2 linked regions of the Oreochromis niloticus genome follow. The protein of the gene in region 1 interacts with the protein of each later gene in a biochemical or structural test. Links are inferred from orthologs where the notes say so. Each region holds a gene or a part of one and is shown on either strand. Other genes may lie near its edges. The genes, in order: mapkapk2a and zfp36l1a.

The links.
Region 2: of the proteins of mapkapk2a (region 1) and zfp36l1a, one has a biochemical effect on the other in vitro, tested with the Homo sapiens proteins (2 studies listed by BioGRID). The link is inferred for Oreochromis niloticus from reciprocal best matches to the Homo sapiens genes MAPKAPK2 and ZFP36L1.

What each region holds. Positions count from the first base shown.
Region 1 is NC_031970.2:25,084,116-25,093,951, forward strand, and holds the start of mapkapk2a (MAP kinase-activated protein kinase 2), read right to left. Parts: upstream 3,664-9,836; 5' UTR 3,118-3,663; coding exon 2,872-3,117; intron 1-2,871. Other genes in the region: uncharacterized protein LOC100707221, read left to right, coding at 8,329-8,540, 9,038-9,083, 9,439-9,530, 9,612-9,722. UniProt on the Homo sapiens protein: Stress-activated serine/threonine-protein kinase involved in cytokine production, endocytosis, reorganization of the cytoskeleton, cell migration, cell cycle control, chromatin remodeling, DNA damage response and transcriptional regulation.
Region 2 is NC_031983.2:18,972,347-18,981,531, forward strand, and holds the start of zfp36l1a (mRNA decay activator protein ZFP36L1a), read left to right. Parts: upstream 1-5,113; 5' UTR 5,114-5,244; coding exon 5,245-5,295; intron 5,296-6,560; coding exon 6,561-7,628; 3' UTR 7,629-9,185. UniProt on the Homo sapiens protein: Zinc-finger RNA-binding protein that destabilizes several cytoplasmic AU-rich element (ARE)-containing mRNA transcripts by promoting their poly(A) tail removal or deadenylation, and hence provide a mechanism for attenuating protein synthesis.

The sequences.
Region 1 (9,836 bases):
AAGGATGTCAGAATTAGTTGAACCACATCTTTATTGACATATAGTGATGTGTCAAAACATACCATTAAGGATACAGGAGAGGTATTTAGATATTGTCTCTAAGGGGCAAGGACCTAATGTAAAAAAAAAAAAAAAAAAAGCAGTTAGAGGATCAAAGATGTTATGACCCCACTGGCCACTAACCTGGGCTGTAGCTCTGACAGACAGATGCAACCCCCATTCTGTCTGTTAATTTTTCTTTGAAGGGAAGTTGCAAACAAGCAAGGGGTAAAGTAAACAGATGACAGCCGGCTAGCATGGCTGTCACCCAAAAAAAAGAAGAAGTGGCCGTTTGTCAGGGTGTGAATGCTAGCATGGAAGAAGGCCACTGCTGCTAGCATTGCTAAGTTTGGTTCGCCAAATTCTGCTAACCCTGATATTGTTTTTTGTGTAGCCTTTTCCTTTGTTGCTGGGTTTCAAAAAGATTGTGGTTTTGAAGGAGCTGCTCTCATGATTCACTGAGTGACAACAATAACTGGCCAATCAGTGGCATGGAGTCTGTTGACATCACATTTTTGAATTAATTCAGATCACTTGGAACCTAGGCCAAGTGGGTACCTGGTGCCAGGTACTACCACATAATGGAAAACCCTGCAAAACGGAGTTGAGTCCAGCCAAGCAGGTAGTAGGTACTAGTGGAAAAGGTCTATTAGTCGCCAGGAACATCTCTAGTTTTGGTACTGAGTAAATTAAGAAAATAGATTTATTATTACAACATTAAAATTATTTAACAATGATGTAAACAAAATGATTTCATTACCAATTGTAAGTCTCCCTCTCACCGCCTGCCATTTATCCCTCTCTAGTGCACTGATCTTATAAGGCAGATGTGCAAAGTATTTTTCAGTTTTGGATCATTTAAATTGACACTGGAAATGGATTTAATTATATTCATATTCTAAGATGAATATAATTAACCTAATCAAAGTATGACGGTTTTGTTACTACTTTTCTCAAAATGTTACACTAAAATGAATTGCTGACTTCTGAAACAGAATCTAGCTAACACTAGTTAGTTACCAGCTGCAGTTCATATATCTTTTCTGTACTTCTTTTGAGAAAGAATTTAGATATTTTTGGTCTGAAACTGATGGAAAATTGACAGCATTTGCAACTGAATTTACCCTCCAGGACCCCACTCATGCCACATTCAGTCAAACCTAATAAGACTAAGATTTAATAAAAGAATGACCCAATATATTATATCATACTTGGAAAAAACTTCTCTACTCCCTCAGCCTTAAGCGCTCAAAAATCCTGGAAAAAAATTAAGTACAGAATTTCAGCCCACTTCTGTGTAATCTGAGGACCTTTAACTTGGAAAATTTTTCACAGTGTGAACGCAAAACTGATTTTTGAAGGGCATGAATTACTGATCAACTGCAACAATAATCATGGGAAGTTGCAACCTTGTGCCAACTTGCTTTCACCTTTGCACTTCTATTGGATATTAAATACTGCTTTACTAGAAATGTTTTACACTGCACTGTGAACTGAGCCCACTTCCACTTTAAAAATGACAACTATATTCACATAAAAGGCAGCTATAGTTTTACATGCAGCGCTATCAATGTATAATGCCCCTGCTCACACAAGACAGCTGAGAAGACAATTGAGAAGGCCTGAAAGTTCAACATGACTTTCTAAGTTTATACTTGTTACAAGTGTTTTAACAACAAACAAAAACATGGCTCACTGATGGTTGCGTGGGAGCTTGTGTGGAATTTGCTGTTTGAAACATACACACAGAGAAAGAGAGAAAGCGGTCACCTGTTTTTTCAGGTTTTAGATTTGTATTTTTCATCTTGTCTTTCCCTGACTCATTCACTTGTGGAGGACTGTGCAACAGTTATGCATGCTGAGAATCTTAAGATTATACTCCCTATCATGATGATGGAAAAAAAGCCTTCTGTGATATTTGGCCTCACTGGATAACATTTCAGTCACTTGTGTGTGTGTGTATAGCTGTTGTGACGTTTGTCCTTTATCAATGATTGACCAATACAGAAAATGATCTCTTAAGAGGTAGATCCTGATACTGCAGTGTCACTTTACAGCCACAACCCTAACAACCCCTACCCCCCACTCATACACACTTTTTTTTTTTAAAGCTATGTATGACATTCTACCTTGTTACTACTTAAGTGGTGGAAGTGGGTGACACGTAAAACAATAACAATGTGAAATCCAAAAAAAACCACAATTGAGAAACAGCTTTAACATCACACAGCAGCCTCCAGTCACAAGAAGCAGCACTGCACACTTGAACTGGCGAGATACCTGTTGTGTATCAATTCACTATTTGCTTGTGCACCACCTTAGTGCGATGAAGTTACATGTTCTAATAATAGGAGTTAAAAGGCACTTGTTGGACAACATCGGGCTATATTTTAGGGTAAGAAATTATTGACAAAGGTGATCAAATATTTAATTCGTGGATTAACTTTTACCAACATTACCACATTAATGAAGAGAAAGACAAAAAAATTAGAAATTTGGTTCCTGTAAAATGTAAGCAAACTAAAAGTCGAATTTCCTAAAAGTTTGAGGTCCTGATAGGTTTTATCCAAACAGCAGGCTAAATGTAATACTTTGCAGGAGAACAAACAAGGAGAAATATGTCTAAATAATAAGTCTAAAAACGACACTGTGGGACAAAAATGAACTGCTCAACGTGTGATTGGTTCTGCTTTCCAATTAGAGCGTCCAGATATGTAGAATTGAACTTTAAAAGTCTTAATTGCAAAATAGTGACCACTGCATGAACTCATAGCTGGACAAAAGATGGACTACTGTACAAAATTGCGTTGCTTCATTACAGATATGACCTACCTTTAGGGCATACTTGTCGCCAGTGCTCTTCTGTACTATTTCGAGCACTTTTCCATTGATTCCCAACCCCAACACCTGGCTGGTCACCTTGTATTCGTCAGTGATTGCGTTCTTCCTGATCTGTAAGGTGGGTCTGGGCTGGAAGGAGTGGAACTGACCCGAAGGGTTCTGCTGCCCGGCTGGGTTCTGCTGCCCCGCCGGGTTGGGAAACAGTGGCTGGTTCTGTGAGTTTGATAGCATGTTCATAGTCTTAGGCTGAGAGGTAAGCAGCCTCCCCTCAACAATACTGTTCTTAATACAGAGACCGAGTCTTCCTGAGTTAGCTGGCCTCTGACAAACTGCTCAGCGCGTCGCGTCCAGGCCCGAGGAAAATCTGGCAGTAGTTCTAACGATACAGGTTCACAAAGTCACTCGGTTAGCCGGTAAAATGCCAAGTTAGCTAGCTATTAGCATCCTAGCTCGAGTCTTTTCTGTGATTCTCGGCTAACAACTCAGCTATCGGTTAGCTTATCCATCTCCGGTGGTGTCCGCCGTCCACCGGTTTCCTCAAAGAACCCTTCAGGAACTTTTCTAAAACATCCTCTAAGGCGGCAACAGCGGTAGGGTTTGTTTTTTTTCACTCGATACCGTGAAACCCCTCGAGGGAAGTAAAAACAAAAACAACAGAAACACTTAACGAAAGACAGGCAACACAGGGGGAAAAAACTCCGATAGCAATAGCACGACAAACACACTTCACTTTCCAACGGACAGACACCCAGCAGGTTTAGCTTCTGACGTCATATGGCCGGGGCTTTTTTTCGGCGCTTAAAGGAGAAGTGCACCAGAGGAAACGGCTGGATTCATTCAACAGACTGGAGCGTCGGCCAGGAGAGGGCACACGCACAGGCGTTTACAAGAACAGAGACTTACTTTGCCAAAAGATAATCAAAGAGTAATCTGCATTTTTATTGTGTGTTTCCTATATGACAGTATGAAGCGCTACGCGGGTTTTAATTGCCAGTCTTTGAGGCAAGAGATCCCCCTCCAGAGTTTATTAGCAGTCTAACAGGGACAGGGACAGGGACGAAAATAGACACTAATCTCTGACCAGAAGGACCAAAGTGCTATAGGTGACCTCAGTGCTAGGGCTTGTGTGCCTTTAATTCTGCTGTTCCTACTTACACATTGATTTGTTTTGGGAAAGGCGCGATATTGGTAAATTAGAACCCAAATCTGCATGAAAGTATTGAAAATACAAGTTACAGAGCAACCAGGATTGTACACACATCACTATCTTGCTTTGTCTTTTTCCTGGATGTATGCAAATGTCAAAGGGCAGCAGTATATAAAATGTTTTGTATGCAACTACTAATATTGTGATTGTCAAACAATGAAACCTTACTATTTGCCTAAAAGCAGCACTGAATGCTAGCGAGAGCCCATGCAATCAATCACTTTAATCATTTTTACATTCTAATTATTAAATGAAAACTTCCTTGAGGTTATACAATTTCCAGTTTCAACCCAAAACACAGATATAACAGGGTGTTTTGGTCCGTAAGTTTTTCATTAAACTCTGGTACCTTTACAGCACGTAGCTAGTCTCTGACAGCCTAAATCATTGCAACATTGTTGTATTTCAGAGGACTGATGGATACATTGTGTTGCTAATCTGCAAGGGAATAAGACAACACAATAACTGTGGAAAAGAAGTGATTACAAAAAATATTAGGATAAGGGAAGACTTGTGGTAACCAGCATGACTGAGGAGGAAACTGAACAGATGGGCCTCTGCAGGTCAGTCTATGTAGGTTCTCAGTCGTCCATGTCAAGGTAGTCTTAAGAGCTTTAAAAAAAGGAAGCTGGACTTCTTTAAGCTAGTGGAGACATCATCCAAGAGGCTGGAGAGACCCATGTCTTGAAACCCTAGTACACTTGACCCAAGCTGCACATCAGCATTTAAAGGATAAAGGTCACTTTTTGAGGATGATAATGTCCACATTTTAGACCAAGAAGACAGATGATTTGAAAGAGGAGTACAGGAGGTCATCTATGTCCACTGTGAGCAGCCATCGGTGAACAGGAGTGGTAGCTTACAACACCAGCTATCAGCCACCTACAATGCAGTCTTGATATCCCCTCCCTGGCTCTTTAACCCTCCCTCACACCTTGCCTCAGGTGACCTCAATAGGGTGGGGTAAGGTCTCACAGTGTTTTAACCCTTAACCCCCATTGATGGTATTGACCTGTGCATTTTTTTCACACCTTGGCTCATGTGATAATCCTCAGGATTACTTCCAAAGGAGAAAAATCCCACTAGGCACTAGGGGATAAATACCTGGGTTTCTCCATCCTTTATTTTCAGAACTGAAGACACCTCTTACATGAGGTGGTGACACGTTTTCAGAAACCTAAGGAAGTCCACTTTCCATCTTTCCCAGACTTTGGGATGTATTCTTCACATGTCCTTGAATCTAGAATAGAGGTTGGTGAGCTACTTTTAAAGCGTCACCCTCCTCTACAGTTCTGAAACAAGCGGAAGTTTGTTGAGGATATTCCACGCTCACATTCAGCTGTTCTGGTGAGTTCACTGATGCACCTCTGCACCGGGAGGAAAGGTCTCCTGTTTGGCCTCTGAAATATTAAAAAGATAAAGTGTATGAGTGCAAGCAGTTTTGTTGTTGTTGTTGTTGTTGTTGTTTTTCTTTCTGGGGGAGATTGGGGGGGGTTCCCAAAGGAACAGCAAAGTGACTTATTGGTTCCCTATTCAAGTTAATATGGTGTGGTGCTGGCCTTGGCCTAATAACAGCGAGCCTGCAATTAAAACAAACAAAAACATGCACAAATAGATGAGTGCAATATTTCCCTTTATTTTTCTGCCACTTTAATTTCTTACTACAGAGTCAAGCACGTGGTCCGGAACTAATGGCGGTAGATAAGCTATAAATTGAATGCAGCGCCTCTTTTTTACCAGAAGATGGCAGACAAGTCTTAACGAAACGCTTTCCTCAAAGCATATTATATCGTGCTTTTAATCTCACCGGAGAAGAATATTAAGTGTACATTGTACAATATGGATAACATTAACATTAATTTATTTATTTAAACTTTTTTTAAAATGTTAACAGTGATCTAAGGAGCTTGCAAAGCTTTTTCCCTTGAAATGCTTTGGTATGTAGGATACTAATATAGTTGTGTTTAGATTTGGCTAAACGGTGATTAGCCAAATCTAAAAACAATCTGAAAAATCTGTTTGGAACACGATCTTCCAACAATGTATATGCTTTGGTTTCCTGTTGTGCAAAGTATTGTTTATTTCAATCATGCTGCACCTCCTCTGAAGATTTCAACTTAAAAAGTACCTTTTAATAAAAATTAGAATGTTAATAGAACACAATCATTATTGCAGTATTCATATGTAGTATAAAAAACTTCATGCGGTCATTCTCATTGTGCTTCCATCAGTCACAGGTCAGTTTGGTTAACTTTCTTTCTGTGAGTAGGATAAAGTTTGACTGCTCGTGTTGCTGAATGAAATCAAAGTCTACTTCACTGCCATCAGAAGTGAGAGAATACCACTAAGATATGTTTAATGTGTGAAATCAAGATTTTAAAGGTTTATCCAAAGTAGCGCCACATTATTAAAAAACTTAAATGGAAACACACATACACTCATCTGCCAGTAATTGGCTCACAATTAAGTAGAAATGCCGCGTTATATTCTAGTGACATATGCTCACTGACCACAACTTTTCAGCTGCTTATCAACATAAATATCTAATCAGCTAATCACATGGCAGCAACTCAGTGCATTTAGCCATGTAGACATGGTTAAAAAAGATCATTAAGTGACTTTTATTGTTATTGGTGGCAGTCATGCTGGTCTGAATATTTCAGAAACTGCTGATATACTGGGATTTTCCCATCTCTAGGGTTTACAGAAAACAGTCTGAAAAGGAGAAAATATCCAGTGAGCAGCAGTTCTTTGGACAAAAAAAGTGTCTTGTTGATGTCAGAAGTCAGAGGGAAATGGTGAGCGCATTTTGAGCTCATAGGAAAACAGACAGTAACTCATTACAGTCAAGGTATGCAGAAGAGCATCTGTGCTATAGCAGCAGAAGACCACACCAAGTGTCACTCCTGTTAGCCAATAACAGGAAATGTTACACAGGTTCATAATAAAAGATATAGAGCACCTTTATGGCGTTATTTCAGTGCCACTATTCTGAGCGCACGTAAAAAAATATTGCAAGTGCAAGTGTTGCATTTTGAGGAGAAATTTATTTTGAGCGTACAAAAGCTGAATTTGAGTGAACAAAATTCATTGCTGCGTGCAAAAAATGTATTTCAGTGTTTGCGCTTATCCATATACACACACACAATAGCACCCCCTCTCGCTCAGTTTTTTCATTTGCGCTTGCTCGCAATGTGTTGCTTGCGCTCACAACATTCTCTGCTGCAAGCGCTCAACTCTCTGTACACCGTTATAAGTGTGCCACAAAACCAACCAATCACAGACTTGGTTTCAAAAATTCTGATTGGCTCTTACAGTCTCCAATCAGCTCGCTAGCTGCTGCATTCCGGAAACAGTCCGAAATGTAGCTAAATCCAGCTAAACTCAATTTAACCCCAATTTGCGGATAATATCTTTAATTATTTTATTTTAAAATATATTATTTGTTAAGACTATCGTTGGTGTAGTATAATGTAGTTGCATTATACAACCATGCCAACTGACTCTCCAAATTATATTTGAGTAGCTCTCTTTTATGTCGTCGAATACTGAACAGCAGCACGAAAACAACATGTCCCGGCCACATGTAAGTAATATAAAATCATTTTGTACATTATTATTCGCTTGATAACTGACGTTAGCTAATTTGCAAACTATGCAAACTTGAAAAATGATGTACCTCATGTAGTTCGTTTTATGGGTTGTTTATTTTTGTCTGAGATACGTCATTTCATTGTATTTTTCTAACTACTTGTCCATGTTTGCTGCTTTTAACAGGACATACTGAGACAGCAAATGATGCATAGACTCCTCTCTAAACTGGAAGCTGCTTTAAACCAACAACCACTAAATCTGGATTATTTGGAGTTCTTGACTCGTCATGAGCTTGTTCTGTTTGAATCTTTCTCTCAGCAAATAGGTGGTCTGTCAGAGATTACAGAGGCTCTACAAAATGTTCATCATCTGGTTCAGTGTGAAATTAACATCACCTCTGTGGGAATTATTGAACTGGAAACAGAAGTTGGTCTGGGACCTGGCCACCCCAAAATCGTACTAGAGAGAGAAAAACTGAAGAACTTGTTGGACACTCAGCTGCCAGTCAGCTGCATCGCTAAATGTCTTGGTGTTTCAAGAAGAACAATCTTCAGGAGGATGCAAGAATTTGACTTGTCTGTGAGAGGAACATACAGCACAATGAATGACCAAGAGCTGGACAACATCATATCGACTATCAAAATCAGATGCCAAATGCTGGCTATCGAATGGTTCAAGGACATTTGGTTTCTATGGGTCTCCGTGTTCAGTGGTGGAGAATGATGGCCTCCATGCATCGAGTTGATGCTGTTGGGATCTTCACACGGATTACAGAACTAGGCTGTGTTGTGCGAAGAAGCTACTCGGTGCGAGGCCCTCTCTCCCTTGTCCACATAGACACAAATCACAAGCTAATAAGGTAAAATACCCACTTATATAGCTCTAATAAAAGTTGGGCAGAAAGATGCACGTTATACTTTAAATCTGTTTTAATCAACCTTATCTGATAGGTCTTTCAGTGTGTTTATAATATTTTAAAAAGCACTTCATATTGTAATATTAAGTAAAAGGATTACAGGATGTGTAACAAAAGCAGTAATATTGTTAATTGTAAATTTTCTTGAGCAATTATTTACACTTTGTATATCGATATTTTCCATGATAACAAGCCTATCAACACATAATATGGTAAGTGCTACTGAAAACTTAAAAAAAAATCATGACAAGGGAACTAAAATATTTAGTCTCATTGAACTTATCCACTTTCACATATAAAAATGTTGGTATTATTTTCAGCACACCTGACAAGTGTCCAGTTTAAATCAGTGGCAAGTTTGGTTACTGAAAAATGTATTTTCAATGTCTTACATGTTCTGCAAATCAAGCCTTAGTGAGATTGTTTTCCCTCTGAAACAGGTACAATGTTGTGATCTTTGGTGGAGTGGATGGCTACTCAAGGAAGGTAAATTTAAACTGTTATGTAGAATATTTGGTAGTTTTGAAATGAGAGCTGTATTAGGTTATTTTTTTATGAACATCAATTATTCAGCAAGCCAACATAGTGGACGATTTGCAATTTAAAAAAAAAAAATTATAATCAGTTCTTTACAAAAAAAAGGTTCAACTAAAAGGCCATTTTTATTTTTTGATAAGTACTACCAATATTGATATATAGACTACTCAAGCTTTGAATTATGGTTTTGAACATAGAACCGTACAATGTTCCTTGAACACTTATTATGGAACTGCATTATTAACTGAAAAACTATACATGATCTGAAACCAGATCTTTAATTTTCCATTTGTTTTTACTGCAGGTCCTGTACTTGGATGCAGCAACTAACAACAGGGCAAAAACTGCATTCTCATTTTTCCTGAGATCAGCCCAGCTTCACGGCTTGCCATCAAGGTTTAATGCCCTGATCAAATTTATATGCTAGCAACAAGTTTCATTAAAGACAACTTCCTTAAAAATGTATTTTTATCATAGGGTTAGGGCAGATCAAGGAGTAGAAAACCTGGACATTGCACATTTCATGTTTGCCACAAGAGGAACAGGGAGAGCGAGTTTCATATCTGGAAAGAGTGTCCACAATCAGAGGTTAGTCTTTTGATGTTTTTTTATATTATTATTGACTGCATGGGTAGATTGTTGTAGCAGTTCTGATATTGATTTAAAGCATATAATACCATAAATCCAAATTCAAATGTATTT
Region 2 (9,185 bases), on another chromosome or scaffold:
TCATGACACCTGGGCCAGGGTCAGGTCTGTCCAGTCCGGTCGGATCTGGTCACAACAATCACCATGATTCATCGTTGCGTCCCTAACTTTTTTGGCCTAAGTGCCATCGTTGTACTGTGAGTTTAATGCATTATGCATCACATCGCTGTGGTCATCAACTCATTTCTGTAGCTTGATGGCTTTGACCTCGGCTTCATCTGTCGTGACCCCCAATGTGTGTGTGGAAAACCAAACTATCCCTTCCCATGAGCCCTCTGCATAGACAGAAAGATTGTTCCTCAGGAAACGCAGGTCAGGAAGTCAGAGGCGGAAGCCAGCCTTTCGTTCTAAATACAACCGTCCTCTAGAGATTGGCGTGTCAACAGAGAATTGGGCAGTAAATCTTCTTTAAACGCTGACCCCTCACTCTCTTGTTTTGTTGCTATTTTTTGCGACTTTGCATTTACCAAAACATCATTCTTCTTCTTCTCCTATTTCGCTGTAAATTGGCAGCAAAGGAACCACAGACTCACATTTCCAACATGGTGTTTGTTTTGAACTCCGGTCATGAATGTAATGCTGTGACGTGTCAAAGCCATCAAAATGAGCCAGGGCTAGCACTGATGCCGCATCCCACCCAGTGTGAGATGAAGGGCAGTGGAAGTGAATGGATGGGCATGTTGGAGCGATTCATGGGAACAAGATCAGCAAGAGCAGTTGGCGGTTTACCACTAACAATGCTGTGGCTACTCTTATGGACAATTAATCGCTGCTTGTTCTTATTTTCCTCCTTCCCTCAATCCTTCTCTCTCCCTAAACTTTCTTCCTCTGAGGCTAGGTTCACCCTGCATGATGACCACAGTCCTCCCATATGAATTTGGCAAACATACCATGAAACATGAAAGGAAGCAATCATGGTGTCCTGGCTGTCAAGGCTTATACAGACAAGGACAGGATCACACAAATTGGAAGTGGGCAGTGGATACAGAAACAAAACCCGTGCAGGATCACAGTAAATATGAGATCACACATGACAGCATATTCAAGGAATCAAAGTCTGTTTTGTTTTGGTTTTTTTGCTCAAACTTGACTATCCTTGACCACTGATTACTCAACAGTCAGCAGAGTGATTAGCTGTCCTGATGAAAAACAAAAAGGAAGTTGTTGAGTAAGCAATGACTTTTAATAGAAGCAGAAACACAACTGACTCTATTCCTGCAGTACATTTGCAGTAGTGAAAAAGCATATGTACTGCGTAAATCATTGTTTTGGTTTTTTCATCTTAAACTCTTTTATCTTCCACTTTTTTTATTTTTCAGAGGACAAATGTGCTCCAATACAGATGTTTCCACATATTTATAGCAAAGAAGTAGTTCAGTATATTCTAATTGAGGTTAAAATAACATGTTGTTAAATTACAGCTAAATGCAGCACTTAAAAGTGTCTCCTCCTCAGGCTTAAGTACTCAAATAAAGGTCACCTTCCATCTGTTATTTAAAAAGAAAGAAAGAAAAATATGCTAATACAACCATCTTCTGAACATTGATTTGATACACTGTAACTACCTTTACTTAAGCATTAATAACATAACAAATAAAGTCCTTAATATTTGAAAAAACACACACTTTGCAGTTGGATTTAGCATTGAGGAAATGCTTGTGACTATCATAAAAATATGCATTTTAAGGAAATCTGTATGTTTTTCTTCTATTTAGAAGAAAACATACAACACAACTACAACACTACAACACAAATGGCAACTACCTTTTTTTCACCTTGACTATGTCCCCTCTTCTCAAATCTAACCTACAGCGGCCCTGGTAAGCTCTTAAAGGTTGTTTTCCCATAACTGGCAGAAATAACTAAGATGTGCCAGCGACAAACTGAAAATACATTTCTTGCGAAGCAGAGATGTTCCACTCACAGCTGCATATACAGTAATAACCTTAATATTAAGGAATTGAAAATGCAAGTGTGTGGGGGGATGACTGTTTAGTGAGGCACAAATCTCACTAAGTGGAAACCACTAAGTGACTGGTATTCATCAACAACCCTATCAAGTCCAGGAATACACATTATGCACCATGCAGCAGTAAAAAGTAAAAATACTACTTATTTCTTCTTTAATACATTGTTTAATGAGCTTGTGGTCACCTTAACTGGGATGTGGTGCAGCACGGTTTGAGATTACCACAATACTAGTTTGAGTAATTGTGAGTTTTGTAGCTGATAAGTCCCTTTGCTTCACACAAGGCCAGTGTTAGTGTATCTGTGGAAAGGCTGATTACACAATTCACAAGTTTGTACTGAGCACTAAATTACCTCAAAGCCGCACAACGAATGAGCTGTGTTTGACTGAGCTGACCTGCTGGTCTAATCTTAGAAATTCCCACTCAATGTAGAACTATTCTGTTGAGGTAAAGTTATGTTTTAGGCAAACGTGCAAAGACTTAAAATACAGCACAAAAATAGAGGAGTTAAATAGGAAATGCTGAGACCAGAGGAGAGAGAAGCGGAAGAACTTTGCCCTCTGTTGGCTGCAGGGAGGAACTGCAGCAAATCGTTGCCACAACAGTCACCTCCCATTTATTTGTTGTTCTCCTCCATGACTTCTTTCATCTCCAGTACTGATAGATGAAAAATTTAACATCCTGTCATCCCACTTAAACATTATCAGTGACCTCAAGCTCAATCCCCATCCTCCCTTCTGAGCTTGGGGTCATCAAAGTCAACGGCGCAGGAGGCAGAAATCAAACGACGCAGCACATGCTGAGGAGTGACCGACTCCAGCTCCAGCAGAGCCTGGAGGGAAAAAAAACAAGGAGGACAGCCTTGACCTCGGAGAGCACAAAACCTCAGAAATCAAGTCTCCTAAGAGAGAGCTCAACTCAGTCAACAGTAAGAGGAAAATACTGACAGAGAAGTTGATATATGGATTGCGCCTTTTGTGTTTGTACCTTTGGAAGTCAGTGAAAACGTCATGATGCTTCTACACACCTTATTTGCAAGATTTCTGTCATTTGTGACAACAGAAAATATTTGGATTTCAAACTCTTTATGAGATCCTTTTTTCTTTTTAAAGGAAAGATAGTCCAGACTAAAATAATGCAGGTTTTTTTTGCAATGCATTGTGTTAAAGTCTTGTCAGTAGTTATTACAGTGGTTTACTGTCTCCATTTTTAAAGCATCTGACTAAATCCCCTGAGAGCACAGCAGGCTGACTTTTTTTCTATATATTTTCATTTTGGCAGGAAACAGGTGCCTCCTCCTAAACCTGGAAGGACAACTGAGTCACACAATAATATCAGCAGGCACGATATATCTGAGAGTATTAAAAATAAACAAATGCACTGTATGAGGCTTCTTAAGGCCAAGGTCCAGTATGAAGGCATTTCCATCAGTCAGTGGGTAGTTTGTTTTTGAGTTTAGAGCCCTGCTGACCTTGTGCGCTTTAAATCCTTGCAAGTATCTACAGTGAAATTTCCAGCTCCTGCATCACAGCTACATGAGCGTATTCTTCACTTGTGTTGCATATTATGAATTCCCACACGAGCTCTGGGATTTTTGCATTTGCAAAATGAAAAGAAAAGGGTGGGAAAAAGTGATTCTCGTTCTACTTCCCCGCTCTGTTTCTCCCTTAGAGGGACAATCGATCTGGCCCACTTAATCAATCAGTGACAGGCCCTTTGAACTGCAGACGAGATTTCTAGCAAGTCTGTCATCCCACCCTGTCGTCTGTGAAAACACTCCAGGGGGAGATTGCTCTGCACAGGCCTGGCTCGTAAAACTCTTTTTTTTATGTTCCAACACACACCCTTGCTGTTCACTGACAAGGTCCAGGGTAACCGGGTGTTTGCATCTACTTTTCTTAATGCATAGAGAAGAGGATGTTTGAGTTCCAAAAAGGTCAGCTCATGAGGCCTTAGTCAGATACTTGCTTGAGAAGCTGTGGTGTAATCTGGCCTGTTCTATTTCAGCTCGTTTCAACATTTCAGTGCAAAAACAACTTCCCTGCCTCCTTCAGGGCTGCTAGCAGTGAAAGACAAAGCTCTCCACCTCCCCACTCTCCCCCTGCATGGCTCCTGTATAGGCAAAGAAGAAGAGGAAGGGGAAAGGGAATGTTTTGCCTCTCTATCCCACCCCTCTTCCCTCACTTCCCTGGGGGCAATGCTGTGTAGTAATAAACGTCCCCCATAAATCTCCCCCTCACGCCATCATCCCCTCCTCCATACTCCAACTTCTTGTTTTCTGTATGTTAACAGCTTCTTTTCTTCTCCCCCTCCTCCTCAACCCCGCTTTTCTTTTCCCTCCTCTCCTTTTCTACTGCAACCCAACCCTGACATTAGGGCCTGCACATGGCCGATGTCATAGACTTTATGAAGGGGGGTGGGCAAGATGAGCCACAATACATTTGTATGGGTTTCACTCTCTGTAGTCTGTCACGCCACTGCGGTTGAATCTAGTGAGATCACTCATGTATCAGATTGTCGCCTACAGTACCTGATGAAATGACATGCACATATTCAATTCAGAAGAGGAGTTTTATACCTGCTGGTAATGAATAACAAATGAGCTGTGGCTGGAAGTAGAATGCTGTAACAGTGAAATAGCTGTGGTCGGGAAAGAGTTAAAAGTGCCTGAATTCACCGGAAAGTCCCACAAGTGACGTTACAGTCCAGCAATTAAGAGTAAATTAATTACAGAGTAGTGGATGGTAGCTGAAACCCCGAGGATAATACAGTAAACAACTCCAGAAGTACAAGATTTCCATTGCACTACTCCTATTCACATGCCTTTGAAGGCTTCTGATTGGACTTTAGTTTGATATAAATATATTTAAACTGCTTAATTATGAACTGAAGACACTTTTCCCTCCAACAAAATCAACTTTTAACAAATCTAACCCACAGTTCAGATTCTCCGATGAAGTTAAAGAGAAAAAGAAACTTGTTTTTAGTGCGTTGTCCCTCCTGACTGGTAGCCTAAGACTGTTTGGCATTCAAACCTCACCCAGCACTGGAGTAATCTCACATAAACTGACAAACCAATGCAGGTTTTTTTCCCTACAGTTACTAAAGTTACTGAAAGTTCACGCCCGTTTTTCGAAGCTCCTCCCTGCAGTCGATTGATTAAAAAGCAAATGTCGGGGTTGGTGCAGGGCAGAGGGGGAGAGTTCAGTAGCTCTGAGCAACTTTCTAACAAGTAGACTGGCTTTCTTTTTTTTTTTTAAACTACTTTTGTGATTTGATTCCGGTCGCTGCAAAGATGACCACAGCCGTGGTATCGCCTTTCTTCGACTTCGAAGTAATGAACAAGGTAGCTTCCTAACTTTTTCCACCCCCTTCTCTGTGTATCTGTCTGTGGTCTTGTGAGCTGACATTAGCCTGTTAGCAGCGGGGAGTTAGCCGCTGTGGAGGAATGACGAGCTCCGTGCCCGCGGCCCTCTGCCGGCTGCTCGGAGGCTGTTTTTGTTTTGCTGTTTATCGCTTTGTATTCCGCTTTGACTCAACTGCGTGGTTATTTGTTTGCTTCGTCTGTTATTTCCTCTCTTCGGCCTCGTCTGTTGAGGGTTTACGCTATAAGCGCTTTCAAAGTGGACCGAAGCGCTGCGGGAGCGTTAATTTAAAAATTATTTAAAAACATGGTGTTTTTATTTACTTGTGTATTTATTTAATGTTCAACATGCGCCACATCTGCTAACTTTAATCTATATGGTTTATGCTGCGAGGCTGGTGTGCAGTTTAGTCAACCAGCGGCTGTTAAAGTGAAAGCTTTATGTCCTCTTTATTTTAATGAGATCACTTTTGCGCCACTTTTAATGCTGCTTTCAAAGCAGCCACATGCTCGCTAATCATTGACCAGATTTGGCTGGCTTTAGCCCACTTTCTGCCCCTATAAAACTACTTAAACTACCGGCATCGTCTCACCTTAACACTTGTTGCGCAATTCGTTTTCATACATTTTCACGTTTTGAGTGTCAGATTGCCTCTCAGAGCGTTTTTGTTTTTCTTTTAGCCTCCCTCTGGGGTTTGTTGGATTTCATTTACACTGTCGTGTTTATGTAAATCATGACTAACTGTTCATTTCCACTAGTATGGAAATGTGTGAAAGCAGATCAGGTTTCCCTTGTAATCCACAGAATGTTTGGCCACTTTCTTTCTCTTTCAAAATGATGCAGGGTCTTTGTAGCCCACACTGGTAGCCCACAGGCCTCTCATGTGCTGCTGCTGCTGTCCTATTGACGATACAGGCGCACACATTCCTAACCTGGGCAACTTGCCAAACCAGCTGCTGTTCTATAGGCCTGTATCCGCTAATGTCGTCTGAGCCAAAAAAGAACAGTCATGCAGGAGGTGTAGCCCCACCAGTCCCACAGTGCCCGTCATTTTTATTTATTTATTCAGGGAGAGTATCTGTACAAATGGTTTATAGGCTCGCCTAACAAGCGTTCAGTCACTTTCAGGAGTTGCATCAGGATGGCAATCGGACTTAAAAATCAGGGAGCTGCTGAAAGTAGCTTTTTTATTTGTGCTCTACTTTTTCTAATGCTTGTGTTTTCTGTACTTTATTTTTTCTTGCAGAACAAACTTCTCAGCTACAACAACAACCTGGGTGTCTCCCATCCCATGTCTGTTCCTTGCACTAGCACCAACGTGCCCATCTCCAGCTCCGCCGGACCCCTGCTGGACAGGAAGGCGGTGGGATCTCCCTCAGTGGGAGGCGTGTACCAGCGGCGGCACTCTGTCAGCAGCACAAAGTTCAACCAGAACCAATTTCTGAATAGCCTGAAGGCAGCGGACCAGTCCTCCTCACTCATCTCAGGGGTTGGCAATGCCAGCAACAACAAGGAGAACCGCCTGCGAGACCGCTCCTACTCCGAGACGGGCGAGAGGCTCATCAACAAGTGCCTGGGCCCTGCCAGTCCCACCGGTAGCAGCAGCCAAGTGAACTCCAGCCGTTACAAGACAGAGCTCTGCAGGCCCTTTGAGGAGAACGGTTCCTGCAAATATGGCGACAAATGCCAGTTTGCTCACGGAATCCATGAACTGCGCAGCCTGAGCCGCCATCCTAAGTACAAAACTGAGCTGTGCCGCACCTTCCACACCATCGGTTTCTGCCCATACGGGCCTCGCTGCCATTTCATCCACAATGCCGAGGAGCGTCGTGGACCTCCCCAGCAGTCCTCTCCTCTTAACTCTATGAACAAGATGGAGCGACCTCGGCTGCAGCACAGCTACAGCTTTGCCGGTTTCTCCAACTCAGCTGGGCTGAGAGACAGCCCCACCTCAGTCACCCCTCCACCCATGTTCTTCCCCGATGAGATCCCAGACTGGCCCAGCAGTAATCCCTTCACCTATTCCAGCCAGGAGCTGGCCAGCCTGTTCGGGCCCAGTCTCAATGCCGGTCCTGTAGGCACAGAGCCCAACACCCCTGCACCTCCCTCTCCAACAAGCACATCTTACTATTTCAGACCCATGTTGGAGTCCCCTCAGATGTTGGAGTCTTCATCCAGCCCCCCAGACTCTATGTCGGATCAAGAAGGCTACCAGAGCAGCTCTGGTGGCAGCCTGTGTGGCTCAGAGTCCCCCACGCTGGATAACACCCGCCGCCTTCCCATCTTCAGCCGCCTCTCCATCACTGATGACTAGACTGCACGCATCCACCAGTGACTTTTAAATTTGACGACACAAAGAACATGGCACTCCCCTCTACCTCTGCCCTTCAAACTCCCCTCTGCCCTCGAAGCTCCCTTACACATCACGTTAGTTCCTTGTTAGCATTATGAGGATATAATCAATTAAGGGAACCCTCAGCTAAATCTATCATTTCTTCCCGCTTAATCTGCACAGCAAGTTTTAAAAGAAAGTACCCCGCCATGTGTCATAGTGCCAAAAAAAGGAGAGGAAACTGAACAATGAAAATGATGAGAACAAGAATTGACTGTTTATGCCAGGTGCCACTTGTTTTTGTTTTTGTTTTTCTTCTTCATGTATTCTTGAATGTGTAGCAGCACAAGTGGCCTTGGAAAGGGGAGTGCTTTGCACTAGCCCTCAACCCCTCCCCTCTATCCCCTGCCATCCTCCCTGATGATACCACTTCCCCTGAGCTTGCTAGAGGGTGCTCAGTAATATAACTGTAGCTCTACACCGCAGACGTTTTTACAGACTGAGTTAAGACAAATGGAGAGAAATGACAGACCCTGAAAATATATGAATAGTTTCTTTTTTTTAAAAATGGAGAAAAAAAAGTGCCTGGGCAGTTTCTGCATGTGTTTAGGGTGAATGGACTACTGTTTGTTTTGGTTCTTTCTCATTTGCCCCCACCCACCTCCTTCTACCCCTCAGTCAAGCCCCGTGTTATGTAATTTTGAACCGGGTGAGTCTGCAGGAAGGACTTTGAACTGGAAGTTGGTTATGGCCCCCCCCTCTCCTCCTGTTGCTGGTCACTGGCTGTTTCTTTTTTTTTCCTTGGGAAGGAAGTTGATATCAAACTGATCATTAAACCTGCAAGACTTTGTCCTGCCCCCAGCACCTACACCTTCATCTTCACCGATCCGGGGAATTCCAGCATTCCCATAATATAGTTATATGTCGCATGACTTGACAAGATCGGATCTCCAAGCTATTTTACTTTACTTGTCCCCCTCCCCTCCCATCTCCTTCACTTTAGAACCTGCTCCGTGGAGCTCTCTACTCTCATTACATCCCTTTTTGCTTTCTTTATTTGATAATTATTTTTTATTAATGTTATTATTACGGTTATTATTATTTGAGAACCTTTCCAGACAGAAGGTTTGCGTGTCACTGCTTATTTAACTTATCAGAACATATTTATTGGTGATCATATGCATTTTTTTGTTAATTTTGTTTTTTGTATTTATCTGGATAATGAACAATAGAATATATTTTCTTTTATGTTAAATTATGATCTTCCATATTAATCTAAAGATTGTGAAGACTTTTGTCAGTTTTCCTTTTTTTCACAGTTTAATATATTGTACTTCAATGACTTTTGTTCTGCAACTACACTTTGTCAAAATGAAACTTAATTTAAAGCAAGAAAAAAAAAAAATGCAAAAAAAGCTGTTTTGCGTTTTGATTATTTATTGTACTTTGTTTTTCTTACTCCCTCTTATTGGACTGCATTTCCATCTAAACTAGATTTGCTTGTATCCATTCCTCCCCTTGCACATGTTACAATAATCT